Schizosaccharomyces pombe: one gene and its partners. The protein of the gene in region 1 purifies or fractionates together with the protein of each later gene. This does not show direct contact. Each region holds a gene or a part of one and is shown in the gene's direction. Other genes may lie near its edges. The genes, in order: tsn1, vip1 and srp1.

What was found.
Region 2: the proteins of tsn1 (region 1) and vip1 purify together in Schizosaccharomyces pombe (affinity purification with western blotting; one study listed by BioGRID). This does not show direct contact.
Region 3: the proteins of tsn1 (region 1) and srp1 purify together in Schizosaccharomyces pombe (affinity purification with western blotting; one study listed by BioGRID). This does not show direct contact.

What each region holds. Positions count from the first base shown.
Region 1 is NC_003424.3:4,389,479-4,399,599, reverse strand, and holds tsn1 (translin), read left to right. Parts: upstream 1-3,970; 5' UTR 3,971-4,007; coding exon 4,008-4,070; exon of another isoform or gene 4,071-4,108; coding exon 4,109-4,184; exon of another isoform or gene 4,185-4,232; coding exon 4,233-4,469; intron 4,470-4,507; coding exon 4,508-4,590; intron 4,591-4,632; coding exon 4,633-4,801; intron 4,802-4,858; coding exon 4,859-4,893; 3' UTR 4,894-5,224; downstream 5,225-10,121. Other genes in the region: vacuolar phytochelatin and glutathione S-conjugate ABC family transmembrane transporter Abc4, read left to right, coding at 1-3,668; kti12 (elongator complex-associated protein Kti2), read left to right, coding at 5,711-5,882, 6,028-6,701; Sec7 domain-containing protein sec72, read left to right, coding at 7,176-10,121. UniProt on the Schizosaccharomyces pombe protein: DNA-binding protein that specifically recognizes consensus sequences at the breakpoint junctions in chromosomal translocations. Selectively binds single-stranded d(GT)n and d(GTT)n microsatellite repeats.
Region 2 is NC_003424.3:1,211,100-1,221,298, forward strand, and holds vip1 (RNA-binding protein Vip1), read left to right. Parts: upstream 1-6,039; 5' UTR 6,040-6,071; coding exon 6,072-6,845; 3' UTR 6,846-7,129; downstream 7,130-10,199. Other genes in the region: CTP synthase Cts1, read right to left, coding at 347-885, 1,106-2,369; RCC domain-containing protein Ats1, read left to right, coding at 2,627-3,682; ubiquitin conjugating enzyme Ubc6, read right to left, coding at 4,022-4,539, 4,624-4,762, 4,803-4,829; protein mug94, read right to left, coding at 7,222-7,788; Ino80 complex HMG box subunit Nht1, read right to left, coding at 8,568-9,341, 9,396-9,604, 9,656-9,698; psm3 (mitotic/meiotic cohesin complex ATPase subunit Psm3/Smc3), read right to left, coding at 10,110-10,199.
Region 3 is NC_003423.3:3,358,067-3,368,457, forward strand, and holds srp1 (pre-mRNA-splicing factor srp1), read left to right. Parts: upstream 1-4,777; 5' UTR 4,778-4,817; coding exon 4,818-4,903; intron 4,904-4,949; coding exon 4,950-5,006; intron 5,007-5,055; coding exon 5,056-5,740; 3' UTR 5,741-6,449; downstream 6,450-10,391. Other genes in the region: knh1 (KRE9-like protein), read left to right, coding at 1-567; SPOM_SPBC11C11.06C (uncharacterized protein), read right to left, coding at 1,294-1,830; rpl1801 (60S ribosomal protein L18), read left to right, coding at 3,751-3,753, 3,806-4,366; rpl502 (60S ribosomal protein L5), read right to left, coding at 6,680-7,564; pus4 (tRNA pseudouridine synthase), read left to right, coding at 7,624-7,828, 7,932-8,950; ATP-dependent DNA helicase Irc3, read right to left, coding at 9,105-10,138, 10,180-10,331, 10,380-10,391.

The sequences.
Region 1 (10,121 bases):
TGACAGCTAAGCGTCGTGTCGTTGAAGTTGACGATACTCCGGTTATACCAGATTATGATAAGAACAAAGCTTGGACATATCGTTTCGAACGCATGAAAACCCCTTCCCTATTTATTACTATACATAAGATATTTTGGAGACAAATCTTGGGGATGGGTGTTTCCAGTTTTATGGTCAGCGTCTGTCAGTTTCTTTCTCCTATTGCCTTAAATCGTCTTCTAAAGCATTTGGAATCACCTTCATCTAGTTCAGTTAATCCATTGGTTTGGATTGTCCTTTTGTTAACTGGCCCCTTTCTCACTTCTCTTTTTACCCAGTTTTATTTGTTCATGTCGACTCGTTACCTCGCGCGTTCTTACACAACTCTTGTACAGCAAATATACAACAAAGTCATTCGATCTCGATTTGTTCAAAACAAATCGGGGGATTCAAAAGTTGGAAGATCCAACAATTTAATTTCTACTGATGTGGATGATATTGGTGAAATTCGTGAGTTTATTCATATCATTGTTCGTGCGCCTGTTGAAATTGCTGGATCCATTTATCTTCTCCAAAAACTTTTAGGGTGGAGTGCGTATGTTGGTTTAGCGTTAACTGTTTTAACTTGTTCCGTCCCTATTGTTTTAGGACCTTTGGTCGCAAAGCTTACATTGCGAGCTAATCGTGCAACTGATTCGCGTATCGAGCTCATGTCAGAATTATTGCAGAGCATCCGTATTACCAAATTTTTTGGATGGGAATTGCCAATGCTTGATCGAGTGAAACAACGGAGACAAGTCGAACTCAATCGTACTTGGAAGTTATTACTAATGGAGATTTGTATACAGGTGTTAGTTGAATCACTTCCTGTGTTTAGTATGTTCGCAACTTTTGTAGTTTTTACTACCATAATGGGCCAAACTATTACACCATCAATAGCTTTTACCTCTATATCCTTATTTTCTTTCATTCGTACACAATTTTCTTGGATTGCCTATCTTATGCGTCAAATAGTTCAAATTTTCGTTTCCATTGGTAGGGTTTCTGACTTTTTAAATGACCCCGATGAAGTGGATCCTGTCAATACTATTGAAGATACTTCCCAGGAAATTGGTTTTTTCAATGCTTCTTTAACTTGGGTATCCAATCCGTCTCCTGGAGATTTTTGCTTACGAGATTTGAACATTGTGTTTCCCAGAAATAAACTGTCAATTGTAATAGGTCCCACCGGTTCTGGCAAAAGTTCGCTAATTTCCGCATTACTGGGAGAACTCAGTTTAAATAAAGGTTCATACAACCTACCTAGATCAAAAGGCGTTTCCTATGTTTCTCAAGTACCTTGGTTGAGAAATGCCACTATACGAGACAATATCTTATTTGATTATCCGTACATCGAGGAGAGATATAAAAAGGTTATCCAAGCTTGTGGATTGCTCACTGACCTACAAAGTTTTGTTGCAAGTGATCTAACCGAAATTGGCGAAAAAGGTGTAACGTTATCTGGTGGCCAAAAGCAGCGTATTGCTCTTGCGAGGGCAGTATACTCCCCAACATCAATTGTTTTAATGGACGATGTTTTCTCTGCGTTGGATATTCATACTTCCAATTGGATTTATAAGCATTGCTTTCAAAGTTCTCTGATGGAGAATAGAACAGTTATTTTAGTAACACACAATGTCCATTTATTTATGGATTCTGCTGCTTTCATAGTTACTGTCAAGAATGGATCTGCTTTTCCCGTTACTGATAAGTCATCCCCTCTTTTATTTTTGGCTGAGCAGGCAGCATCAGCTTCCGAAGCAGCTGCTCCAGATCTTGCTGCTATACCTATCCCAAATGAAGTCGATGATGCGGAAGCTGCTGACGAAAAAGATGGAAAGCTGGTTGAGGAAGAGCAGCGGGTTACAGGCGATGTTGTATTTAGTGAAATCTTTAGCTATATGAAACATTTTGGCTCTGGATTTTACGTCGCTGCTGTTTTACTGTTTTTCGTCACTACTCAAGCTACTTCAATTTTGATCGATTTGTGGGTTGCTTTTTGGACAAACAGCTCCGTGAATTCTCCTGACGTCAATAATAACAAGTTTTTGTTTGTGTATGGTACAATGTTATTAGCATATTCTTTGCTTGATTTTTTGAGAACCGTGTCTTATGACCGCGGTGCTTGGTGGGCATCAAGAAAGCTTCACGATTCTATGCTTGAAAGCGTATTCGGTACCTTTGCCTCTTGGTTCGATAAAACGCCAACGGGGAGAATTGTCAATAGATTTGCTAAAGATATAAGGTCTATTGATATGAATTTATCGGGATGGCTTTTCTTTTCCATTAATTGTTTCCTATCCGTCGCTGGAGGTATTTTATCGGTGTCTTCCGCTATGCCTATTTTCATGATACCTGCAGTAATAGTTTGTTTAGCAGGATATTACTTCGGCTTGTTGTATACTAGGGCACAGGTTGGCGTTAAAAGATTAATTTCAATTTATACTTCTCCTATCTTTAGTCTGCTTGGCGAAAGTATCGTCGGTGTGAGTGTAATTCGCGCATTCAATCGACAAACCATTTTTAAGCAAATGTTTTCTGAGCGACTTGATAATCTCGTGCGCTTACAATCAACCTCTTATAATTTGAACAGATGGGTTGCTGTTAGAACAGATGGCATCAGTGGTCTAGTTGGTGCAATTGCCGGTTTAATCGCTCTTTTGCAGAAAGACTTGTCTCCAGGTGTGGTGGGTTTTTCTCTTAATCAGGCTGTTATTTTCAGTTCTTCGGTTCTGTTATTTGTAAGGTCATGTAATTCGTTGCAAGCTGAGATGAACAGCTATGAACGAGTTTTAGAGTATAGCAAACTTCCGCAAGAACCAGCACCCACTATTGCAGGCCAGGTACCAGCTACATGGCCTAAGGAGGGAGATATTGTGTTTAATCATGTTAGTGTTAGCTATTCCGCAGCCGGTCCTACTATCCTTAAAGACGTGAATCTTCATATAAATCCGAGTGAAAAGGTTGCTGTGGTCGGTCGTACTGGTAGCGGAAAGAGTACTCTTGGCCTTACACTATTACGGTTTACACATCGTATTAGTGGTGAAATATATATTAACGGTCGTGAAACACAATCGGTAAACCTAAACGCTTTAAGGCAACGTATATCATTTATCCCTCAAGATCCAATCTTATTTTCAGGTACCGTACGCAGTAATTTAGATCCTTTCGACGAGCTTGAAGACAATTTTCTTAATGAAGCTCTCAAAACAAGTGGAGCCAGTTCAATGATTATGGCTCATACTGATGATCAAAAACCTATTCATATCACACTAGATACACATGTTGCTTCTGAAGGTTCTAATTTTTCACAAGGGCAAAAACAAGTCCTTGCATTAGCACGCGCAATAGTTAGACGTTCCAAAATTATTATTCTAGATGAGTGTACTGCCTCTGTGGATGATGCTATGGATCAGAAAATTCAAAAAACATTGCGTGAAGCATTTGGCGATGCAACTATGTTATGTATTGCCCATCGTTTGAAAACTATTGTTGATTATGACAAAGTCATGGTCTTGGATAAGGGTGTATTGGTAGAGTATGGTCCCCCAGCCGTACTTTATCATAATAATGGTCACTTTCGACGTATGTGCGATGGCAGTGGAATTACTTTTCTGCCTCCTGAAACTCGAGGTTCGAAATCAGCATGATTTTAATTTTAAATAATGTTGGCTGATGAAACTTATTTTGTAAGCTTAGATTAATTTAAAGGAAATTATTCAATTAGGTTAGATTCTTCTTCAGTTACATAATATATCATTTTACATATAAAAGATCTAAACAACCCAAGCGTTTCTTTAGCAGCTAGTAATAATTTTAGTTAATAACTTGCAAAATACCCGCTAAATTGATTATCTTTATTTTACGACTTAAGAAAAAGGTTGGTATAATCTGGCTGATAAATATCACAACGGTCGTGTTATTTGCATACTGAAAACATCATTCGAATATCAACACTACTCAACAGCATACATTACAGATTAAGTCGAATGAATAAATCAATATTTATTCAGCTACAAGATCAAATTGATAAAGAACATAGTATTCGGGAGGTACTAATCTTGGAAATTATGACAAACTAACATTACAGAAACTGACTGCAGAGGTCGATTTGTTAGACGAAAAGTTAAGAGTTTTGCAACTTCTCTTGGCAAACTGTGAACAAAGTAGAAATGAAAATTTACAAGAAAAAGAACATGGACTAACTTTGGAAGATTTAGAAAATCAGGAAGAAATTTTAGAAGCTCTTGAGATCATTAAAAGCAAAACCAGAGGATTAGCAGAATTGGCATCGAATTTTCCATACTATAAATATAACGGAGTCTGGGATCGATCAATTCAGAAAGTTGTTTATTTATATTTGCTAGCTTCCTGGACCGGTCGTTTAGATAAAAGTTTAAGACCCACGTACAGCCTTCTATCGCTTTCCGAAGTTGGTCAAATTTTGCAAGGTGCGTAAATTATTTTACATTTTTCTCACAATCTTCAGTCCCGGTTTTTCCAGAAGAGTCCACTTTTCATCTTTCAATTGAGCAATATTTGCACGCAGTACTATCTCTGTGTTCTGAACTGGTATATATTCTATTCAACAATCCAAATTGACACAATTTCTAGGCTCGTCAATCTGTAAACTCAGTAATATCTGGAAACTATCATATTCCATTTGAGGCCCTAAATACTATTCAAAAAGTTCATTCTTCTTTTCAAGTACTCTCTTTGAAAAACGACTCCTTAAGAAGACATTTCGATGGATTAAAATATGATTTGAAAAGATCTGAGGACGGTATGAAATTTACGTGGATTTTTTTTTTTTTTGATAGTTTATTTCTGACATATGCAGTTGTTTATGATCTTCGGATACATAAATTGGTTTAAATTGCTAACAATTTATTTGCCAGCTGTACGCTTGACTAAAATTGAGCCGATAAAATTGCTTTTTTAATATTAGGTCTGCTTATTTGCTATGAAACTGGCAGTCCTATGATGAATGCAATTATATTTCTCTTTCTTTAATTTTGTTACACTCTCTGGCAAACTGAATAGTTATTTAAAAAAAAAATATTTCAGCCTAGGTTTCTTTAAGTTCTGATTTTTCTTTACCCAATATTCAAGACGTTTTCCAGGGTACTAAATTAATCATTGGACTGGTATACAACATGTGTTATAAGTTAGTCGCATTTTACCAGATACATGTTAATGGCGGCATAAGTAGATACTTTTCTAACTTTTAATCAACTGCATTTAGCTTATATTTCTTGATGTCCTATGCACCTTTAAAATCTTTCAACAAATGATTACTATTTTTAAATTGAACAACCCTGATTGCGTAGAAGGCGTGCATGTTTTTTTAGCGATTAAAATCCGGGGTCTTACTAGTGTTAATCCTTAATTCTTTTAGAACAATTGATAAGGTAAAGGGAAGCAAGATTAAATTAAAGAGACCGCAAATTGAAATTACTGTGTTTTTAAGCCTAAGCAATACTTACTAGTCGTAAGTAATAAGTCAGTACCGAAATTGAGCGCATTACGAAATACAAATTAAGGATAAAAATTAACTGTTTACTAATGTTTAACGAACTAGTAATTTTCGTTAAATTCATGAAAAAATATATCAAAAAAAAGCTGGAAGTTTTCAAACATATGTTTTACGGCTGATTTTATTCAACCTTCTATTTTGTAGAACATAAAGAAAATGCCATTAATAATTGTTTCAGGTTATCCATCTTCAGGGAAAACAACGAGGTCAAATGAACTTAAAAAGGCTTTAGAAGATCGAATTCATCAAAATATCGACAATACAAAGGATTATCGGGTGATAATAATAAACGATGAGAGTTTAAACATTGAAAAAGAAACATATCGAGGTATGTTTAAATAGTTATCTTTAATGATTTAGTTTTTGGAAATTAGCCAATTCATTTTTGGCTTCAGATTGTGCCCAGCTACTCTAGATGATGGGAGAATCCGTATATGCAATTTTTCGTAATTCTGGTAACTAATTTGTCTTAGAGTCCAAGAACGAAAAGGCCGCTCGTGGCCTTCTCTATTCTGCTGTTCAGCGTGAACTTTCAAAATCTACATTCGTAATTTGCGATGCCTTGAATTACATAAAAGGATTTCGATACCAGTTATATTGTGAATCAAAGTCTATGTACACAACTCATTGTGTGATTCATGTTGCTGTTCCTCAAGATTTATGTCGAAAATTCAATAGTAACAAGGAACAGCCGTATCCTGACGATGTTCTTGAGCAATTAATGTTTCGTTATGAAGAACCGAATGGAATGACACGATGGGATTCCCCTTTATTTACTGTCTTGCACGATGATGCTTCTTGTCCTATCGATGACATCTGGTCAGTTCTTATTCATAACAAAAATGTCAAGCCTAACCAAGCTACAATGGTAAAACCTCCAGCTGAAGTCAACTATTTATATGAATTAGATAAAACTACTCAAGACGTAATCATGCTTATACTGGATAATTCCAACGATACCTCCTTGATTACTGTACCAGGGAGCAAACTTCAAATCGCATTACCCAGTGTTACAGTATCTCTTCCTTTACTTCAAAGATTGCGCCGTCAATTTATCCAAATTAACCGGCAACAATCATATAATACCAATGTTCTCAAGGAAATGTTTGTCGAATTTTTAAATGGTCAATTTGAAACCTTGGACTGATATCCTTTTCTTAAACTTTATGATATTTTTTTTTGGGATTTTTAAGGGGACGAAAAAATGTAGCCTAATATTAATACTTAACTTTGTTTGTTTCTTTTTTTTAGAACATGTTTAAAATGGTAGAAATCGTACATTTTGTTTAATTCCTTAATCCTTTTACAGTTTAAGGAATGCTGTCCTGTAAAAAAGAAATAAGAAAACGTTCACGGTCAATATCGACAATAAAAGTTTCAGTAAAACAACGAATATTGTATAAATCTAGTTATAATGTTTACTATTTAATCCATACTGTAATAAAACAATTTATTATAAGTCTCGCTCGTTTGCTTTATATAAGTAGCACATTGAACCGAGATCTAACGTTCGACACATTAAGGCCGAAAACACTTAGCAAAGACATACTCCGCCTTATATTTCATTGCTAAAAGTTGGCTCGTCTAGACGGCAATTGGCTTGAACGTGACCGATGCCAAAATGCAGGATGCCTCTGAACCTGTGATCAATATGCCTGCTCTGCCTATGAACTCCGTGAATGAGCAACATGACAGACACGAAGATCTTCCAGAAGTTGGAACAACATCAGTTACTAAAATTATTAATGATTCTGACAACGAAGATGATGAAAATGGTATGGATCTCGGTCGTGTTGCTTCTGAAAGTTTAGAAGGCGATGCTGTGGTAAGTATTGATATAAATACAGAAGATTCGTCGTTGTCGCCAGCGAAACAAGAAAACGAAAAGAGTCCCGAAGGAATCGAGCAGAAATATCAAGAAGAAGACTTGAAAGACGACAAAAAATCCAATGAAACTATCGCGACGCCTGTACCTGACGCTGCATCGAGGGCCAGTTTGGAAAAGCAAAAATCAGGTTTAACCAATTTGGAAAAATCCACTCATGTAGTGCTTATAAAGTGCATCGAGCAGCTTATACAAATAAAAGTTTGTATGAAGAACGAGAAGATGAAGAATTTAATGGAGCAACTAAAACCTCTTCTACAAACCGAATGTCAGTTTGACAAATTTTTGATAGTAGAGTTATTTCAGTACTGCTTTGAATCCAGTCAAGATGAAGTTATGAACATTTCTTTAGACACTATTTCTAAACTTGCTTCATTCGCCTATTTTTCTTCAAAAGATAAAACACCTGCCTCATTTGGGCCCCCTAAATCCCTTCTACAGTGTATGGTTGATATGGTATGCGATAGTATCAATGATGAAGTTGTTGATGGAAATCTGCAATTGAATGTTGTAAAAGCTTTATCTGCCTTTATCTTATGTTCTGAGCAGGATAGTATGCTTCATGGAGCGATATTATTGAATTCTGTTCGTAAACTCTTTAATGTCTTTCTTCTCGGGGATAGTGATACTATACAGTCAGTTGCTCAAGCTTCTTTGACTCAGGCTGTCACTGTAGTCTATGAACGATTACGCGCGAGCCACACTCAGTCGAACTCTACATCTGCTTTACCGGAAGAAGATGCATCGGTGACGGAAAATTGGGTTCACGATGAGGATGAGCCTGACAAGAAAATTACTCTTCATTCTATGGCATCTGCTGGCACTTCATCATTAGATCATGTTAAAGTTGACGCAGATGACCCAGCTGTCACCAGTGTTGAGAATTCCTCTATCCAAGACGCGTTTTTAGTGTTCCGATCCATGTGTCGACTTGCTGTCAGACAAACCTCGCCTGATAAAGTCAGTAATATCAGATCTCAAGCTATGCGCGCGAAATTAATTAGTCTCCATCTTATATATCGCATTTTAGAAAAAAATAGTGACTTATTCATGGATCCTACTCTCCAATTTCGTGGTATCCCAGCACTTAAAGGAATGACCCTTGTTCATGCCTCCCGTCAATATATTTGCCTAGTATTATCTCGCAATGCTGTAAGTCCTGTTCCCCAGGTGTTTGAAGTCTGTTGTGACATTTTTTATCTTATGGTTTTTTCTTTGCGTGCCCACTTCAAACAGGAAATTGAAGTGTTTTTTCGAGAAGTTTATTTTCCGATGTTAGACCTCAAGAACACCTCCTACAATCAGAAGCTCCATACCTTGTTAATCATCCAGAGAATCTGTCTTAATCCAAGAGCTCTTGTAGAGTTGTATATAAATTACGATTGTGATCGTTCTTCCACTACCAACGTTTTCGAACAATTGCTGTTTTCAATCTCAAAAGTTACTACCAATGGTCCTTCGGAAACGATATCCGAAGATATTGAAGAAATTCTTCCTTCTTTAGAATCTTCTGAACGGAGTAGTACCCCTTTTCTAAATACGAACTCTGCTTCGTTAAAGTCCGAAGTGGTTCAACTTACCACATTTAGCGATTTTCAATTGAAGCTAAAGACTTTGCAATGCGTCCTTGACATTTTGCAATCTTTATCAAATTGGGCCGAAAGTGGTCTTTATTTATCTCGCCGAGGTGTGTCAACGGATGAGCAAGGTTTTGTTGGAGATTATGATGCGCTTTCCAGGTCTGATACTCCTGTGACGAATCCTTATTATAACGGAAAACAATCGTTTGAAGCAAATTCCCATAGCAGTAGTTCTATCGCACTTGCAGATCCTTCACAATTTGAATCAAACAAACAACGAAAGAAGCTATTACGGACTTGTATAAACAAGTTCAATTACAAACCTACTAGAGGTCTTAAGATGCTTTCAGAAAATGAATATGTTGACATAAATGATCCTAAAGCTATCGCTGAATTTCTGTTTCGTGCTGATGGTATTGACAAAACTACTTTAGGAGATTACTTAGGAGAAGGGGATGAGAAAAGTATTTCCGTGATGCATGAATTTATTGATTGTTTATCTTTTATAAATTTAAAGTTTGTAGACGCTTTACGTCGTCTATTGCAGTGTTTCAGACTACCCGGTGAAGCCCAAAAAATTGATCGAATTATGCTGAAATTTTCCGAAAGGTATATGAAGGAGAATCCGTCTGCATTCGCTAATGCTGATACTGCCTACATTCTTGCTTATTCTATAATATTGCTTAATACTGATTTGCATTCTCCTCGTATTAAAAACAAAATGACAAAAGAAGACTTCATTAAAAATAATCGTGGAATTAATGACGGTGCTGATTTAGATGAAGACTATCTTGGTTTTGTATATGATGACATTCTTAAAAATGAAATTGCTATGAAAGATGATCAAGAACTCGCAGCGATTGCTCCTTTAATGAATAATTTCAGCACATCTAGTGGATTCACCACATTTACTTCTAATGGACGAGATCTGCAAAGAGTAGCTTGTATTCAAGCTTCGGAGGAAATGGCTAATAAGGCTACAAGTGTGCTAAAAAAGCTATTGTATCAACAGAAACATGGATCACAAAAAACAAATGTTTATTACAATGCTACTCATTTTGAACATATAGGTCCCATGCTTGAGGCTACTTGGATGCCTATA
Region 2 (10,199 bases), 3.2 Mb from region 1:
AACACAGTATTTGCATGCATTGTTACAGAGCCTCTGTGATTAACTCACACGTAATGAGCATTCAAAACGCATTACTCTAAATGTCTACAATATAATAACCGTAAAAATGGCTCAGAAGTTCTGAGAGTCATTTCATATCTCTAGATAGTCTCTATAACGTTAAGCTTAATTAGACTAACGGTTCAGTTGCAAAATTACTGGATACATCAAAAGAAAGCTTTTGAGCAGAACAACAATTGATAAATAGTGTCAACACCCCAGAACCCAATTTTTCCTATAGATAAAGAAAAACACACCAACAAACACACATTATTTCCTAATTCCCGGAATCCCATATAACCTACTTCTAACTGATGGTGACGACAGTGGCTTCTTCAGTAACTTCAACAGAGTCATTCATGTCAGCTAAGGCAGATTCAGCGTTAAAATGAGAAAAGTTGCTCCATTCGACTTCCTCACCAGACTGAATAAATTCATCCAACAAGCCAGCACTGGCCGCAACCAATCCAAAAATCGGTGGGGAGGGCTTAAGTGGCTTAGATAAATATTCAGGATGGTATTGTACGCCAACAAAGTAAGGATGGTCACGTTTCTCAATAATTTCCATACGCTCACCACGTTCATCTTTTCCGATGAAAGAAATTCCACCTTGTTCCAAACGGCTTACAAACGCAGGATTTATTTCATATCTATGACGATGTCTTTCCAAAACTTCATCAACCATCTTATGAAGTTTACGAAGTTTACTCCATTCGGAATTGGGTTGGAAAAAGGTAGGTCTCAATCCCAAACGCATAGTTCCACCCAGTTTATCCTTATCAATCTCAGGCATATAAACAACAACATTGTTTTCGCATTCCTTATCGAATTCTTCAGAAAATGCACCTAGAAATGTTAGTTAAAAATCTTTTGAAAGAAGCAAAATAAAAAATATGCTCCAATTAATAATAACTGTTTAACTATTCATGTAGCACTTGTCTACAGTTAGAGTCAACGGAAAATGACAAAAACCTCTAGTAAGTGCATGGAATCTATAGATCCCAAAAATAATAGAAGGCAGTTAAAAATTTAAAATGGAGTCCAATAAAAGCATCAAAAAACATACCTTCAATTCCACAAACACTTCTCGCGAATTCAATAACGGCAACTTGCATACCAAGGCAAATGCCCAAGTAGGGTGTATTATTTTCACGAGCCCACTTGGCTGCGGCAATCATCCCTTCGACACCGCGAGAGCCGAATCCGCCAGGCACTAGGATACCATTGGCAGAACAGACTAAATGCCATGCCTTATGGTAACTAAGTGGGTCACTAGTATTTGTACTAGCTTCCAAATGAGAAGCTTCTACCCATTGGAGGTCAAGTTTACGACCACAGCGCATAGCAGAGTGCTCCAATGCTTTGATGACTGATATATAGGAATCTTGAAGATGAGTGTATTTTCCTACGAGGACGATGGTGACCTTCTTGAAAAGATGATCGTATCCCTGTGTTAAATGTTTCCACGAGCTCCACATATTCTCGCCTGCGAGAGCGAGTTCGCGAGATACACTTATCTTATCCAGTGCGAAACGAATTTTCAAATATTCCAATAGCTTGTCTTCAAGCAGTTGAGGAACGTGATATGTACTAGAGACATCATGCACAGCTAGCACCTGTTCGGGACCAACATGACAGAAAAGAGAAATTTTATCAATCACAGATTTCTCAAGAGGTTGTTTACAGCGGCAAGCAATCAAGTCTGGAGTAATGCCCAAGCTACGCAAATCACGAATTGCTTGTTGAGTAGGCTTAGTTTTCTGCTCGCCATTAATTACAGGGACAAGAGAAACATGGATTGATACAAAGTTTTCATGACCCACACGAAATTGAAATTGACGCATGGCCTCCACAAAAGCAGCAGACTCGATATCGCCAACCGTACCACCGAGTTCAACAATACAAACATCTGGTTCTTCACCACTTTGATCAACTGGAATTCGAGCAACACGCTCCACCCAGTCTTGAATTTCATTCGTAACATGAGGAACAATTTGCACTGTTTTTCCAAGATAATCACCGCGACGTTCCTTCTGAATGACATTAGAATACACTTTTCCAGTTGTAATATTGTTATCATGGGTTAATGTAACATTAAGATAGCGCTCATAGTTTCCAAGATCCAAATCGACTTCACCGCCATCATTCAAAACAAAAACTTCCCCATGTTCAAGGGGAGACATAGTGCCAGCATCAATATTCATGTAAGGGTCAATCTTGATGCTAGTAACTTTCAATCCTAGGGTTTTTAGCAGTAATCCAGTGGAAGAGGCAATTACACCTTTTCCAATACCACTAATAACACCTCCAGATACTAAAACGTACTTCATATTGGCTGTCCCCTGATGTTTGCTCCAAAGTTGGTGGTACGTGGAGGAGAGAAAAATTAGGTTGCTAACAAATTTTTAAGCGCTGGCGAAAATTTTTTTAAGAGAAAATCGTTACCACAAATATAAATCGAAATGATAGGAATTTCCAAATAATGTATTTCACATTATTCTAAAAATTAAAAACTAATCGTACTGAAGATGAAATTTTACAAACCTCCATTGTGCCACCACTTTAGAAACCCACAACTAATATTTCTATGCTGCTATCTTTAGGTTCAAATGGTAACTTCCAACTTGGTTTGAACAATGATGAGGATGTTTACAGCCCACAGATAGTGCCATTTGACCGTGCAATTGAAAAAATCTCATGTGGTGGAAACCACACCCTATTGTTAGATGAGGATTCTCAACTATGGGCTTGTGGTGATAATCGCAAGGGACAATGTGGATATGAAGTGAAAGAACCTCTTTACAATCCCCTAAGTCCAGACTATTTACGGATATTCACCCGTGTTAGTCATGAGCGTTGGGTTTTCCTGACTTGTGGTTGGGAATTCAGCGTTATAGTACATGCTGATCGAAGACGTGTTTGTTCATGTGGTGAAGGACTTTCCGGTGAATTGGGTCAAGGGAATCGCAGTAATAGTCAAGGTTTGAGGGAAATTGACATTCCTTACCTTGACGATAAAGAGTTCATTATTGATATCTCGGCTGGATTAAGACACTGGATTTGTGTTACAAATGAAGGGAACTTGTATGGTTGTGGAGATGGCCGCAAAGGACAACTTGGACCGGTAGTTATGAAAACAGTTAACAAGGTTTCATTTCTCGGGCGTATTGAACATGCTCAAGCTGTTGTATGTGGTGTACAGTTCAGTGCAGTATTGCAAGAAACAGGACATGTAATTGTTTTAGGAGGGGAGAAGTGGAATGTAGCAGCAGAATGTGATGCTTGGCAAGCAAATAACAGTGAATTGTCTTCTTCCATCTGCTCTATATCAGCAAACTGGTCTACCTTGAGTCTATTAAGTACTGAAGGCTGTGTCTATGCTTTTGGTCGTTGTGATCGTGCTCAGAAGGCCCATACAAAAGCAAGTGATATCGTCCAAATCGCCAGTGGAACTGAGCACAATATTTTAAGGACAAAGAAAGGAAGTGTTTTAATATACGGTTGGAATGAGCATGGAAATGCCTCGAATGATGATAAAAGAGATGTTTATGATGCAAAAACTCTTCAATTACCAGGCTGGGCCTATATTGTGGCCGCTGGATATGCAACGAGTTGGATAGTGATTGAAGAAAATCACAAATAATGAATTGAGTAACTAAAATTTAATTTTATTTTCTACCGAAATGTCGAAGCTTTAATAACATTTGACGACATTTAAAAAAATGTAGTTTAGTAAGCTAAAAATCAAGCAATTGCTAAGAGACAATTGTCTATAAAAAGAAACTAGAACAAAGATTAACTTCCATTTAGTTTTAATTGAAGCGCGACATGTGATGCAGAGATGAAGGGGCAACAGGCAACGAAAGAAAAAAAATAAACATATAAGGACGGCAAAGCGCTATTTGGCATTAATCTCTTTATCGGAGGATCAAATGCAAAAACGCTTTCATAAGTTAATAAAATAAATACAAAGCATAACATCTTAAGAATCAGCTCCAAAAAAACGAGCTAAAGCAAGGGCAAAAAACACCAAAACTGCTATGCTCCAGCGACTTTTAACCCAGCTTTGCTTTGAATTAAACGGTTCATTCTTCTTGCATTCATTGGAAGATACAGGAGTGGAGTGAATTTGTTGGGGTTCGATTAGGGCCGCTTCAGCAGCTGCTTTGGCAATGTCTTCCCTATTTTTGTCAATTAACTCGGGGAACATTATTAAGAATTTAGGATTATCCATAATGTTAAATCTCTTCGTATCCTTTGCGTAAGTTCTCCTGGTAGACTCCGAAGTTACAATACCTCCAGTGGTAATCTCATCAGAAGTCATGAAAGAAACGAGTCCCACCAGAATAGTAGAAACCATCCATGAGGGATTCCAGGATTTTGGATGGAAGTCAGAAAAAGAAAGACAAAGTCTGGTATTCGTTTGGAAACGTCCGCTTGGAGTAATCATGCGAATTGCAGGTGGCTTAAAAGGATAATCGGGAGGAAAAATCAATGTCCCTGTACGCAAAGTTAGCAAAGGATGGCAACAGCCAAAAGTTCATGCACATATTGATTACAGAAGGAAATTTAAAAGAAACATACCATGATATTGTCCTCCTTCATATGGAGTGTCCGGAGGGCCAGTGATAATATAATGCCATTCCAAAATGTTTTCAGTTGCAGGTTTAGCGTCAACAAGCTCAACAGGGTTTTTCTGAAGAGCTAGATATTCTTTCATTAACTAAAATAATTAGAAGAAGCTTAAAATTATAAATCCATACCCGTTTATAAGCACCTTTCGACGCCATCGTTGTGTTTGTGAAGTTTGTGGAAGTGAGAAAACATGTAACCATATAATCCGCTCACAGTTACATTACCAGGTTAGCGGCTAGTTAGGTGATTCTTGTCTTTTACAAATTCAAAGCACAATCTCTACTAGACTAAGTGTCTTTGTAGGTTAATCAATATAAAACACCAACAAACTCCGAGGTGAGGTGCCAACTTCAAGTACAACGGTTTATTCAAATCACCAATTCGTAAATATAACACAGTTACTTGTAAAAGAGGTTTTCATTTCTATCTTTTGTAGCAATATACCTATGATATTTATGATATTTTATTTTCTCTATACGCAGCTTAAGCCCAAATGTAAAATATAAATATTGTTAACCTATGTACATTGAGGAAGTAAGATCGAGAAAATAGATTAAAAAATGCTTTGAAGCAAGGAAAGCCTTTAACTTATCTTTGTTTTACTTATTGTAGGTCTAACATTTATATTTCTCTTGCCTTCTCAATATACCTGATAATTTTGCTCATTATTCAATAAGAAACAATTTGGATGACTAACATGAGAAAAGGAACAAGCGAGGTAATCTATTCATATATTTCTTTCGCATTCTTTAGAAAGACCGTAAAGGCGATCCAGCAAATTCGGTTTTCTAGAAACATCAGTTTTCACTGTCCGGATATGCCGATATCGGGAAAATTAATGTCGGTCCTAAGTTTATGAATTTATCGAAACATAGTAGAAGCGGAAATTACTTCGTAATAGCAATTTAATGGATATTTTTTCCACAATTTATGCACTTTGCCATGCAACGAACAAAGCCAACTAGTATACCAAGTCAAGAAATCATGAGTACAGCAAAGTATCTAAGTGTTATCCTATTTAGTTTACAGTGACCAATAAAAATTGTATCGTGATATTCAGATAAAAAGATAATTGTCATCTATTTTCAGCTTCATTTTGATTTAGGCTCACTTATCGCGATAATTGCAATCTTTTGAAAACACACGTTCATTAATGTAATATCAGATTTAAAGTATGAAGTAGTGGCATTAACAAAGCAGCACAAAGTCAACTTTCCGTGATATAGGCTAAGGGCAAGTTAGAAATGTCAGGAAATTTTGCATTTTTGTGGTTTTTTCGTTGGGCTCAATCTAATCGTAATTGGGAGGATGTCGTCATCGATGATCACTACTTAAAAGCAGCCTCCATGGCACTCAACGTACTTTGAATCTCCATATTACCAGTTGAAACAAAAGTAATGAGCAACCAAGTTATTGTAACGAACATCTCTCCTGAAGTTACTGAGAAACAAATCTCAGACTTCTTTTCTTTCTGCGGTAAAGTGTCCAACATCTCTACCGAGAAATCTGGAGAAACCCAAACCGCGAAAATCCAATTTGAACGCCCTAGCGCCACCAAGACGGCCTTACTTTTGCAAGATGCTCTCCTTGGACAAAACAAAATCCAAATCACCAGTGAAGATGGTGGTGCTGCTTCTACTACCGATCAAGGAGGTGCTGGAGGCGATCAAGCCGCTCGTCAAGAAGACAAGCCTCGTTCAGCTATAATCTCTGAACTTTTAAGTCGCGGATATCATTTGAGCGATGTAACTTTGGAAAAGAGTATTCAACTAGACCAAAGCTATGGCGTTTCTTCAAAATTCAAGGGGATCCTCGAGTCTGCTTTGTCTGGCGTTCGTTCTGTTAACGAACGTTATCATGTCACCGAAAAGGCCAATGAGGTTGATAATAAATTTGCCATTTCTGACAAATTGAACCGCACCTCTTCTTTGGTTAGCACATATTTCCACAAAGCTCTTGAAACTGCTGCTGGCACTTCTGCCGGACAAAAGGTTCAAAATGCCTATGAAGATGGTAAAAACCAGTTGCTTGGCATCCACAACGAAGCTCGTAGGCTTGCTGATGCCAAAAACCAAGCTGAAGGTACGGCTTCCCCAGCTTCTAGCACTCCTACTGCCCCTGCTGAGAAGGAGCCTACTGCTCCCACCACTGAGTCAAAGACCACTGAGTAAATTATAGTACCTTGTTGTTATTCTTTTCAGATGGTTGTAATGATTCAGTGTATTATCGATTATTATTATAATTAATGCTTTCATTGAAGTTTTTATTGTTATTTATATAAGATACGCTGATATTTATCTCCCATTAATCGGAAAATTGCTGTCTATATTCCCTATGATGTTATCAATATTGAAGGAAAAAGGAGTATGTTTGTAGTTTGTAATTTGTTTTGGCTTAACGAGTACATACATTTTTATTTGGCATGTTTTGGAGTGAAACCTATGAAAGATAACGATAGTATTAAGATATATATAAGTAGTTTTCATCATCATTTATATTTGGATGCAATTCATGTATCCATCTTTTAGCAGAAATTTGTCGTAATCATCACGCTGATGCTAAAAACGTTGAGTTGCACAGAAAACAAGTATAGAAGAATCGCGGTCCCCGATTGCCTTGCAGAACAGGTGAAAAATCAATCCTTGGGAAATTTCGCCATTTTGCAAATAACTGATAAGTCAGCAGTTCGATACAGTGCTGCTCCATGCATAAGGGACAGCAAACGTAATTGCTTCTTTGACCAGGTAAACCATTATTTTGTACTAACGACATATACACCAATTTTGAATCGTGGTTGCATCTTTGAGATGGCAAACCGTTATTATGTGCTAACGAATTGTTTAGCAATTTAATCATTTGGTTGCTTTTACTGGTACTTTTTTGATTTGAAGATAGCAATAAACGTTCAAAGAGAGCCGCTATGACGGCTTCTTTATAATTGGGAATTATTTTATCCTCGTTTTCAAATATTCCTCCTAGAAGATTTGCTAAGACGTTGAGACATAAAAGTTTATCTTTTTCTTCGATAAAGCTAGGAAATTCCGACATTATTAGCATCTCCAATTTAAAGATTTGGAAAACGACATTTTCGTCACCAATTTTGTTGAAATCCATTGCTCTTTTTATTCACGTTTCACAAAATATACACGCTTAATATTGGCTTTTTCTTTTTTCTGTTTTGATATTTTGTAATATGCAATTTCACTAAAATACGAAAACACAACTGTTCACAAAATCATTAATATGTTTGGAGAAAAAGGGAGTGTAAACATAAACAATACCCATGGTGTTTACATTTTGGACTCCGGTGAATGTAAACATAGTAACAAGCGTACAGTGATGGCTTCTATAAACACCAAATCAGCAAATAAGAAAGGACTTGGGGTTAGAAATATATAAAAAATACAACAGTTTATCATTAAAGATTATCAAAGAATGAAGAGAAATATTCAAATAATCGCAAAAAGTTTCTCCCTGATAAAAAATACAATCATTCGTCGTTACCACGAATCTCTTTTCCAAATCAGTATTTCAAAAAAAAGTTGGAAAAAAAAGAAAAAAAAATTAAACACTTATTAATCGAACTCGTGTTGTCATTGTTTAATCACAAACCAGCTGGTAATTGCCTTAATTCCACTTTCAAATCACACATTCGCTTAATTGTCTTTCAAAATTTTTGCTTTGATAATCTTATGACTTTAAGTCAAAAAAAAAGAATAAATGGTAGTAAATAATGTGAAGAGAAAACGGAACCTTGAAAAAGTTTTGCAAATGGCAAGGAGGAGGAAAATATATTGTGGACAAACTATTAGTTTCTAATCCAACCTTTAATATTGAGACACAAAGTTTAAGCATTGCCTCATTGATCTGATGCCTGCATCAGAAAGCTCTTTTTAAGCATTAGAGGATCTATTAACAACGGTGAATCCTCCCATACGAATTGGCTCTTGATTTTTTGGAGGTAAAATAGGCGAAGTGGTGGGTTCAGAAACAGGTTCTTCATCTACTTCCTTCTGCCCTTTTTCTATCTCATCTATCTGATTTTTATCACTAACAGTGTCTTGTTCTTGATCTTTATCCTTTTGCTTTTCTTTAGCTTTCTCTTTCTCTAGTTTTGCTGAATTTTGCGCACTTCGTCGACGTCTTGCTTCTCTGGCCTTCTCACGCGCTGCAAGCAATCCTTCATGATAAGGTTTCTTCTCTTCTTCGGTCAAATTATTCCATGTATCTTCAAGAGTTTTCTTCAAAGCTTGTCCCTTCAAGGTAGAGCCTTCGGCCTTTAATTTTGGTTTTTGAATAGACGAAAAATGGTTGAATAACATTGTGTCTGTAATTTTGGCATTAGAAGTAGCTTTTTTAGCTCCAGATGATTTTGAGCTTTCTGTTTTAAGATTTGTAATAATAGGAGAAGGTATTGGATCAGTATTCGTAATTTTTTCATCTTTTGATTGAACAACTTGATTTTGCTGCTCAAAGTCTGCATCTGTGTCATTGACGGATGCATCTTTAGGCTGGGAATTATTTGATGATTTATGAGATATTTCCGACGTGTTGTTTAATGCTACGTTTGTATCAGATGTTTCTTCTGTAGATATCTTTAACTTCTTGGCAGACGGGTTTCCAGCGCCTTTCGTTGATATTTTGATTTTAATACCTTCGGGAGGAGGCTACATATGATTAGTACAAGTATTACAATAAATTCACTCTATAAAAACACTTACAGGAGGAGATGGCTCAGAGCGCTGTCCAAATTCGCGAGATTTTGCTTCACTTTGCAATTCCAACTGTTCCATTAAGATAGCTCTTTCTAATCGGCCACGCTTGACAGCTCTTCGAATAACCTCATATTTGCTTAATAACTCCTGATTTCCTTTTTGGATCTCCTGAATTCTAGCCTTTAAATCCTTGCACTTTTGGCGATATTTAATTTCTGAGTATTCATTAGTAAATGAAAAAATCAATCAAGCTTCAAAATATTCACCTTCCGATTTGGAAATAGATACATGGTATGGAGGGTTTTCCATGGATATAGATGCTCTGCCTTTGATCTTGTTCGCACAATGTAGTAAGTACTGTCGCGAATTAAGAGCACTGACTGGAGGTCTAAAATAGCGAATTTATACAAGTCTTAACGCTACGACATGCTTTCGATTTTTTGAATACAAATAGAAATCTGGAAAAAGTTATTAAAATGACTCTCCATTGGGATTAGAACTTTAAAAAAACTATATGTGAAAGTATCAACTCTGGTAGTAATACGCACTGATTGATTCAAGCGCAATTGCATCATGAATATAAAAATTATAAATTAAGTATGATAAAATTAAATAACAGAGATATTAATGAAAGAATGACTAATAGCAAAAAGATCGGTTTGTCCACGCAAAGAAATTAAAAAGAAAAATGCGAACTTAAATTAACAAACCATAACCATTTTATCCTTCAACGAATGCCATAGCCTCCTCCTTAGAAATCGACTCAACTGTTGAAACTTTGTGATTAAACATTACTCCGTAAAAATTGTC
Region 3 (10,391 bases), on another chromosome or scaffold:
TTTGGACCAGCTGGACGTCTTTACTTTCTTTGGGCACAATCTACATATGCTGGTGGTATAGTTAATGACTATACTGACTTTTTCACTGTTAATGGTCTAACAGGAACTTTTGATAATTACGAAATTTATGCGTCTTTGATGGCTCTTGGTGTGTATCCTTATGTTCCTACCCTTACTGGTTTTAGCACTTTTCTTGGTGTATGGCCTACAGGTACAATGCGAGATTGGTATCTATCTCAAACTACCGGTGTTCTCCGTACAGGACCTATTCAAAATCGACCAGATTCTACTTTTACTGCTGCTACGACCGACATACAACCGCTATGGGAAACTTCCTCTTATTCCGTATTTACCACGTTTGCAGGTCCTCCCATTGCCACCTCGACTGTCTTTGCATCTCCAACGTACATGTATACGTTGTATGCTAATTATGCTAGTACGGCCTCTAAGCCTACTATAATCGCAACTCCAACTGCTGGTTTAAGGAGACGAGACAGCTGGGCTCAAGCTGCTCCGAAACGTGGGATGCGTTTAGGTGAACACAAACGTGGGTTGTTATATTCCTAAATTGTTAATTTTTTTTAAGGCCAAAGCCTTTCATGTCATTTAGATTTTTCATTAGCACACTAGGATATTACTGTGTGCATTTTTGTCTGCTTCCTTTAGCTCAAATACATTGAGTCGTTCGTCAAAGAAAACAAAATATTTTGGTTATTTGTTATCTAAAGTCATGTTTTTTTTCATATTTACCATTATGCTGTTTCTGTGGAGTTAATTTCACGTAAAAGCATCTTCAAGTGCATGAGTTATTTCTTCATTCGTTCAATTTTTACTTTCCTTTCTCCCTTTTCATTCGTTCTTTTACATATTTAGGCAAAAAGAACTCTCGGTTAAACCCTTTTCTTTAGTTATCATTTTCTACATTTAATAAATAATTATGGTTTTATTTAGAATTTATTTTGTAAATTATACTTGTTTGAACGCATTGTTTAATTAAGTAATCGCGACAAATAAATAAATTGTGTGATGACAGTGCTATGCCAGAACGCCCAAATAGTCGGAATCAATTACTAAATTCACTAAGTTAATATTGCAAAAGCATTACAAGTAATGTTCAATTAAATCATAACATTAAATAAAATATTGTGATATACTATAGAGGTATTCTTCATCAAACCTGTAAAATGCAGCAGAAGTGCAGAAAATCAAGAGGGGATATGTTAATTTAAGAAGATGATAGGAATAAACAATACTGGAGATTTTCAAACAATGAATTCCAGATTTTAACGAACATTAAGTTGATTTATTAGACTTTTTGGAAGCACAGCATGCAGTTTTGGGAGTCTTTGAAAATACAGCGCTGATTGTAAATACAATGCCAGCAATAGCGGTACAGGTGCAAAGAGTACGATTGTTAAGGGTTCCAGATTGACGGCTTTTCAAGAGATATGCAGAGATGGCGCCAAGACTGAGGAGGTTGATTGATATGGCAGCAGAAGCTGGAACTTTATGAGCATTGACAAAATTGCAAGCTTTGGAGTAAACAGATTTCGCTTCTTTTTCCAATTTCTCAGTTTTACCTTTCTTTTCCCCATCGGATGGTTTTTCTGATTCCTTCTTTGCCTCCGCCTCTTCGGGATGTAGAAAGGCGTCGGCATCTTCCTCATCTAAAACGACAACTTTTTCATTTTTTTGGTAGGGTTCTTCACTCAGAACTTCCTCAACTTCAGGAGGCTGTGGTGCGGCTTTTTCTGCTGCTGTTTGTTCAGGAGCATGTTCTCTTACAATCTCGGCATATGAGGGATGGGAGCTTCCTTCTTTTGCAGACATCTTAAAAAATTTTTCAGTGAATATGAGGAGAGATAAAAGTCAAATTTTCTTCAAAGTTGTAAACACTAACGAATTTGATTTAAATTGGTATGTTGTGGTGGGTATATATGTATTAATAGAATTTACATACTTTGCGTATACAGTATGACGTCCTCAGTTGACATCATAATAGTTTAAGCACTGTACTGAAGATACTCATCATCTATAGTAGATTCCAGCAAGTTAGCGTAGAAATCCGTTTACTAAGTGGCATTACGATTCTTTATCGCTGTTTAAGGTGATACAATATTTTATTATGGTGAACAGAAAATGAATTACTTTTTCCTTTTTAAATATAGTGTTATGAATGATTTAATATTTAATGACCAAAAAATGATAGCCTATTACTACTTGCATGTTAAAGTGTTTCAAAAAGGACAGCTTTAACCATATTCGCTAAAGAAAACTAAAGAGGTTTATTATAAGCACAAACTATAGTGAACAGAAAGTATTTACGGCATTTGTGATAATATTTGCTAAATGGCCGCGTGTTTACTACCCGCAGTCAGGAATGGCAGAAAACATAAAAAGTTGAAAACTTGCTTTTATACTGAATTAAATAAAAAAACAAACTAAAAAGTTCGGGTTTCGACGGGGATTGAACCCGTGACCACTTCGACCCAAACGAAGTATGCTACCACTACACCACGAAACCACGTTACAACTCATAATACAAATAGATAATATTAATGGTTTTCTCCTTCCAAAGTAATTAAGTAAATATCATTGATTTTAAAAAAGAGCTAAATACCTAAAGAAATTAGCAATCAGAGTATGGAGAATTATCTACTTGCAACTACTAAGCTGACTGAATCTATGCCAAAAGAAGAACATGAAATTGCTTCAAATCAAATTGATAGAGGACATAACAATTACTTAATTTCGTAGAGTTAAAATAGTTAATGTGAGCTAAACATGCAAGTAACTTAAATAATCAAATATTATCATTGATTAATAATTACGTTCAATTTAGAAAGTGTTTGTGCATCGAAGCAAATATATTTGTTTTAGCAACATTCTGATCCCTTTAAATAGAAAATGTTATCTAAACGATCAAAAAAATATCCTAATCTCGTAATTGATAGAAATCTCTGCAAAGATTTCCTATTAAATCGAGATATGTTCCTTATTGCCTAAAATAAATTAAAATCAATCCTGTAGATGACTCGTGGTCTTAAAATGATACTTTTAGAAAAAAAAAAATAGGTAAATAAGTAACCTAACCAATTTTACGAGTTATCAGATACATAGATTTGAATAATCAATTATAAAAATATATTGATTAATTTACTTATGTGCTTAATATTTGAAATATGCTAGTATTTGCAACGTCTTCGTGTTCGCACTTTATATTTATTTTTGTTATCTTTTAAGCGCCCAATAGTAAAAGAAATTGTATTCCGATCAATTTTTGCAATTTTCGTGCAGCTTAAAAAAAAAATACTTCTTTGTCTACTCAAAAAGCATGAAAAGGTTTACAATAAATGAATACTGAAGGGTTCCATAAAGTATAATATTTTCAATGAAATATGGTTATATAATTCAATTATTATTTGCAGTAAAATTCAAATGCATCTTTTTCATATATCTAGTTTTATAAAACAATTAATTTTTAGAGAGTTAATGAACGTGTTCGATAAATGCAAAAGTAACACCTACCCTATTCCAAAATCTCACTATTATAAATAAATAATCTAGCAAATACTTATTTATATTGAATCATTTATACACCTCCGTTTATGGGTTTGCTACACAAATAAGGCGTACCTAGTGACTCTCGATAAACCTCCCTAAAACCTACCCTAGCTCAAAAAGGCAGTCACAAATTTACTACCAATTTTAGCAGTGATTATTGAAACGAACAAGCAGCGTTATATCAAAATGGTATGTATAATATGAATACCTGTTTGTTCTATTAAGCTAATGAGTGATTTAGGGAATTGATATCGAGAGACATCACGTTAAAAAGTCTCAACGCAGCAAGCCTGCTTCGGAGAACGTCTACTTAAAGCTTTTGGTTAAGCTTTACCGTTTTTTGGCCCGTCGTACAGATTCCCGCTTCAACAAGGCTATTTTGAAGCGTCTTTTTCAATCCAAGACTAACCGTCCTCCTATTTCTATCTCAAAGATCGCTGCTTTAACTAGCCGTAAGAGTGCTTCTTCTCAGAACAAAACCACCGTCGTTGTCGGAACCGTTACCGACGATGAGCGTATGTTGACTGTTCCTAAGCTTTCTATTGCCGCTCTTCGTTTTACTAAATCTGCTCGCGCTCGTATTTTGAAAGCTGGTGGTGAAGTTTTAACCCTCGATCAGCTTGCTCTACGTGCTCCCACTGGAAGCAACACTGTTCTTGTTCGTGGTAAGAAGCATGCTCGTGAGGCTTACCGTCACTTTGGCTTTGGTCCCCACAAGCATAAGGCTCCTTATGTTCGTTCTGAGGGCCGTAAGTTCGAGAGAGCTCGTGGTCGCAGAAAGTCTCGTGCATTCAAGGTTTAAATTACCTTGTTCAAGCTCGTTTCCTTTTCTCACACTTTATGGGATCAGCTCTTAGTTGCTTCTCATTTGGTTAGCGTTCATAAATTAGGTTACCGGTGCATTATTGATCCGGCTTTAGTGTACATCAATAGTGTTCGTTCCCAGATATGAATACAATGAAAATCTAATAGCTTAGTTGGTTAACATTATTCTCTTTCTAATTTTTTAATCGTAAACGTATATGTACTTGTAAGACGATGCTTTTATTGATTTAATATTGGTGTTAGCAGTTACTTTTTGTATTTCGCGCTGCAGGTCATTATTAATTTTTTTGTCGTCGGATTTCAATTTAGTGAGCACGAGTGATTTTTACTAAATTCGTTAGCCACACCGTGCTATTCGCTATTGGATTTCCATTCCTCCTTCCACTTACACCGAATTTTGGAGCAAAAAACGTCTTCTTAAGAAAAAAATGAGTCGCAGAAGCCTTCGTACCCTTTATGTGACAGGATTTCGAGATGGAATGCGTGCTCGTGAGCTTGCTTATGAATTTGAGCCGTAAGTTGTTTTTCATGCACTTTAAATAGCTAATTTATTCATTTAGTTTTGGGCCTTTAATACGTTGCGACATCCCAATCCCTAGAACTCGAACTTCAAGACCGTAAGTAAATGGCTTTCTAAGTAAAGATTTTAACCGTCTTATTGGATAGTTTTGCATTCGTTGAGTACGAAGATTCCCGTGATGCTGAAGATGCGTATTATGAAGTGCACGGACGTCGTCTCGAAAGAGGTGGCGGTGTTCTTCGTGTAGAATGGGCCAAGCAACCACCTCCGTCAGGCCCTGGCTCCAAACGTGGTGGAAGACGCGAACGAGGAGGTCGTGTTCACGGAGATTCTGGACGGCTACGTTCAAGGTCACCTAGTCCGCACGAAGCCCGATCTCGTTCCCCTTATAATGATGAACGATCTGATAGAAGATCAATGAGCCCTCGTTATCGTTCGCGTAGTCGTAGTCCTGATGGACGTAGTCGGTCTCCCGATTATGATCGTCGTTCTCCTAAACGGAACCATCGTTCACCTTCACCAGTCTCTTTTGCACCTCAAAAGAGCCCAGTAGAGAATGAAACTGAAACGAATGTTGATAATGGTGACACAAAAATCTCTGAGTCTAACGAAAAATCTGGCACTGAAGTTGAACAACAATCTGCACCTAACTCTAATGGTAACGAGGAAGTTAATAATCTTGAACCAGTCGGTCAAAACGAAAGTAAGCAAGAGCCTCCTAAGGAAGAGAACTCAAATGTCTCACAAGAGCAACCAGAACAAGCCCAACCCGAAGTGTCAGCTGCTTCAGAGCAACCAGAATCCAACCCTACTACTACAGAGTCTCAATAAACTTTTGTACTTAATTAAAAAAAGGTTTTCATGTTTTAAAAATTGTCTATATTCCTTTACTTTTGTTCCAAAATTCCGTAACACAGTTAATGTCGTTTATCCGGCTAAAACTCTGAAATGTCATGTTTGTGTAAATCTGTCCTTTTTTTTTCAGGGCGCTTTATTTTTTTTTAGAAAATAAAACCGAAGAAAAAGCTCAACAATTTCCACTTTTGACTGTGCTGATTCGTGGCAGATTTTGCTCTGAACAGATGATTTAGAATCCAATTTCTTCTCTCGCTGTTGCTTGAACTTTTATGCCGTAGGTTTATCTCACAATATAAGCTTTCTTTCTCACATCAATTGTGTGATGCCGCAAAAATTGATACCATGAATGTTCCTTTGCATTTATTTATTTAGCGGTATGCTACTGCCAAACGCTTGTTTGAATTATGGTATGATGGTCGCTTGTTTCCTTCTTTAAGGGCACAACAGTGTGCTCAAAATATATTTAGCTTTTGCAATTACTATGAAAATACTTTTTGACTTCTGGATTTTGTAGACTATAATTTTGACAGTTCACTAGTTTGAGTTAAAAATTTTTGTAATAAAACTATCTATTTATTTATTTATGCCATTTTAATATCATATTTCAACTTTGTTGTTCGCACTTCTAATTTCAGAGCTTTTTATTACCAGCAGCCTTTGTTTCCAAGGTATTACTGTTGAATACAACTTTTTCAACATACATGTGTGTTAATATTTTACTTTTAGTTTGGACACCAAAATCGCATAGACAATTTTTAACTATATATCAAATTCATGAAGTTTTTTAGCAAAAAACCGTTATTACTTTACGTTTATAAATCATAACTAAAAAAAACAAAACAAGAATATACAACAAAGCTACGCCAAAAATAAAAATTTTCTTCAATGTCAATTTTTTATTAAGCACCCTTTTTAAGCACGACCGGCCTCAATAACCTTGGCGTTGAAACGCTCTTTGCGTTCTTCAGCAGTAAGCTTCCTTTGAGTATACTTAAGAGACTCAGCCTTGAAAGCAGCAGCATCCTTACCAGACTTCTGGAAAGAAGGATCCTCACGGATTTTGGCATAAGCCTCGGCATAGATGTCCTCAAGTTGATCGCTCTCAATACCATCAGCAATCAAGCCAGAGAATTGCTTTTGATAACGCTCTTCATCATCATCAATAAGCATCTCCATGTATTCAGCAACATGACCACCATAGATATACTTACGGAGAGTCTCATCATCCAATTCCTCAGTTTCAATATCGAAACCAGGGAAACGGTTGGGAGAGTGGGGAATAAACAAACCACCATCAGAAGCACCCTTCATTGCACCAAAGACACGGGAACCGGTAGAAGTACGCTTCAAACCAACATCCAAGAAAACCTTGAAGGGGCGAGGACCATCCTCAATAGCCTCAGTGAGCTCGAACTCACCCTCAGGTTCAGTAACACCCTCATACTTATCAGCAAGGCCAACCTTAGCAAGAGCACGACGAGCGACCAAAAGACCGGTAGCGTAGGCGGCAGTCCAGTTGGCCAAACCCCATTTGATACCGTAACGAGGAAGCTCAGAAGAGTGAGCGTGAGCAAGAACATAGTCACCGTTTACTCTGGAAGAAACTATTTGGCATGTGACGAAACGATTGGAGAAACGAACGACCAAACGGTACTTGGGAGCATTGTATTTGTTCTTGGCCTGGGCAATCAAACGCTTACGAGCGTAATAATCGGTTTTACCCTCACGACGACGACGATATTTCGTCTGATAACGTGAAAAGTAAGGGCTGCTCTTGACTGCTTTGATAAAGGGCATGTCGGTAAACGGACAAAAGTATGATATTATTCCTAAGTAATTTTGGATCTTAAGTATTTATGACAGTCACAAATACTTATAACCCTACCCTATTTTTCACAAGGGTAGTATTTCAAAGGATAACGAAGTTTACTGCTAAAGCAAATGAAGAAAATGAAATCTTGTTTTACGCCCTTTTCGTCGCTGATTTATGCTTAGATATGAAAGGTGGATTAATAGCCATAAATAAGCCTTCTGGTAGAACCTCTGCTCAATGCTTAAATGGTAAGTTATTTAGGGAGTTTTTTGTATTTTTCTTTTAAATTACCATTAATATTCAATTACTTGCAATAATTGTTGTGCAAACTAAAATGATCCTAACTGACAGAATTAAAAAAAATAATTTCAAACAGTGAGCTAGCTCAATATTTTCGGCCTGCTCCTCCACACCCTAACGATCGTAATCGAAGACGAAGAAAATCAAACAGACTACCAGATATAAAGATTGGACATGGAGGTACCTTAGACCCTCTTGCTTCTGGAGTTTTGGTAGTGGGATTGGGTACAGGAACAAAGCAACTTTCATCATTACTTTCATGTATGAAAACTTACCGAGCGACAGCCCTGTTTGGCTGCTCGACAGATACCTATGATTCTGCTGGAAAAATAATTAAGATTGCTGTACACATCCCTACTAAAGAGGAAATATTATCTGGTTTAGACGCTTTTCGAGGTGACATCTCTCAGTTACCTCCTCTTTACTCTGCTCTGCATATTCAAGGTAAGAGACTATATGAGTATGCACGCGAAGGAATTCCTTTACCTGAAAGTATCAAAGCACGATCTATGCATTGCGAAGAATTAATTTTAAAAGATTTTATTCCGAAGGAAGAACACACCTACACGGATCCGGATGAATTTGCTTCAAAGGAGGCAATTGAAAGTGAGGAACTTTTAAGACCTATTGAGGGAGGTGCCGAACGTCATGATTTACTTGCAAAGACAGAGCAAGACATCAATCCCCAAGATGGTGATGAAAAAATAAACGCGAAGAGTCCCACTACCAATTCTGTTACAGATGTAGCCAAAGATCAAACTGTCACAAACCCTAAAAAACGAAAGTTTGAAGTCACTGATTTAGCGCGAGGATCACGACCTGCAATAGGGCCAATTGCAGTCCTTGATATGACGGTTTCTTCTGGTTTCTACGTTCGCTCTTTAATTCATGATTTGGGCCGACAAGTAAATAGTGAAGCACACATGGTCGATCTTGTGAGATTGAAACAGGGGTCTTTTGCACTAGACGATGAAAACTGCTTTGATTTTTCAGAATTTTCAGCTCCAGGCTGGGAGGAAAAACTCGCAGCAGCGTTCAAAATCGACCTGAAAGGAGACGAAACAAGCTGAAGCAGTCTTAATATATATACCAGTAATATACTTTTTAGATAAGGACATTCATATTTTCTTTAAAAGCATATAATAGACATTTCTTTTCCACTCCAAGCAAATATTATCACTGGTACAGTGAAGAAAACGATTTTTATGAAGAACACTGAAACCATCAACCCTTTAATTCCTTCAATGTAGTAATACGCTTTAAATTTGCGTCGTGTTTCAGATAACTTTGTAGCTTATCTGTTCTAACTTGTCGACCTTTTCCTCCATAAATTACTTTAGTAATCATATCAGCTGCAACACCTGCTGTCAAGAGTTTTTCATCTAGTTTTAAATTTGATTTTTTCAAGAAGTTTATTTGTCTAACAGACGCGGGTCTCATTCTCCACACTGCTTTACGACTAATAAGAGAACGAGGTGTTTTCAAATTGGAAATGTATGTTTCCGCTGCCCTTATCGCGAATTTCAAGGAAGGTATGCGATCGGATACAATACGTTTTCGATTATACACTCGAGTCCCTAATTTCTCTTTCGTATATTCAGATATCTTATGTGTCCCATCTTCAAAATTTGTATCAATTATCAACACCTTTTGTAAAAAGCTCAAGACATATCGACCCATACCGACAGCAACCCAAGCATTAGTAGATAAATTGAAAATGCTCCTATCTTTGTTTTTAATGTTATCCATCATTTCTATCAACTTCCGTAATTTGCTGTACCACAAAACAGATTGTAATCCATAAATTTTAGGATCATAATCAGGGTTCGCAAGGGAATTCTTTGATTTATTATAAAAGTTTTCAACTTCATCGGGGGAAAGACCAGCTAAAGTAGGGTCAACATGTAGACTGACTCTTCTTAAAGAATCACAAAAATCTAATATTAGACAATCTCTTTTTCCCTCATGCAATCGCAATCCCCTACCAATCATCTGTGTAAGTAAATTTGGAGAACTTGTAGGCCGAGCGATCATTAAACAATCAATATTAGGAATATCGGTCCCTTCAGTCAACACCATGCAATTAACAAGGACAGGAAATTTCTTTTTTCGGAAATCTTGGATTAAAGTTTCACGTTCCGAATCATTAGTTTCCCCAAACAAAGCTCGGGCATCAATACCTAATTTTCGAAATGCATTACAAACTTTTAATGAATGCTCTACATTTATGCAAAACACCAATGTAGATGAGCGGTTACCTAAAAGGAAATTAATATAGAGATAACTATATTCAGCTTACTAGCATGTTCGAGCCAAGCTCTTGGAATTTCGAATATTGCCTTTTCTGATTGTGCCTCCTTTTTTAACTTCTCTTGGTCCAAGAAGCTAGACGAATCAGCTAACACAAGATCTGTAGACCACTTTATGTTTATGACTTTTGGTTCAACAAGCCTTAACATTGGGAGTTAGGAAGAGTACCTATAAATATGACACACTTACCAGTTATCTTTG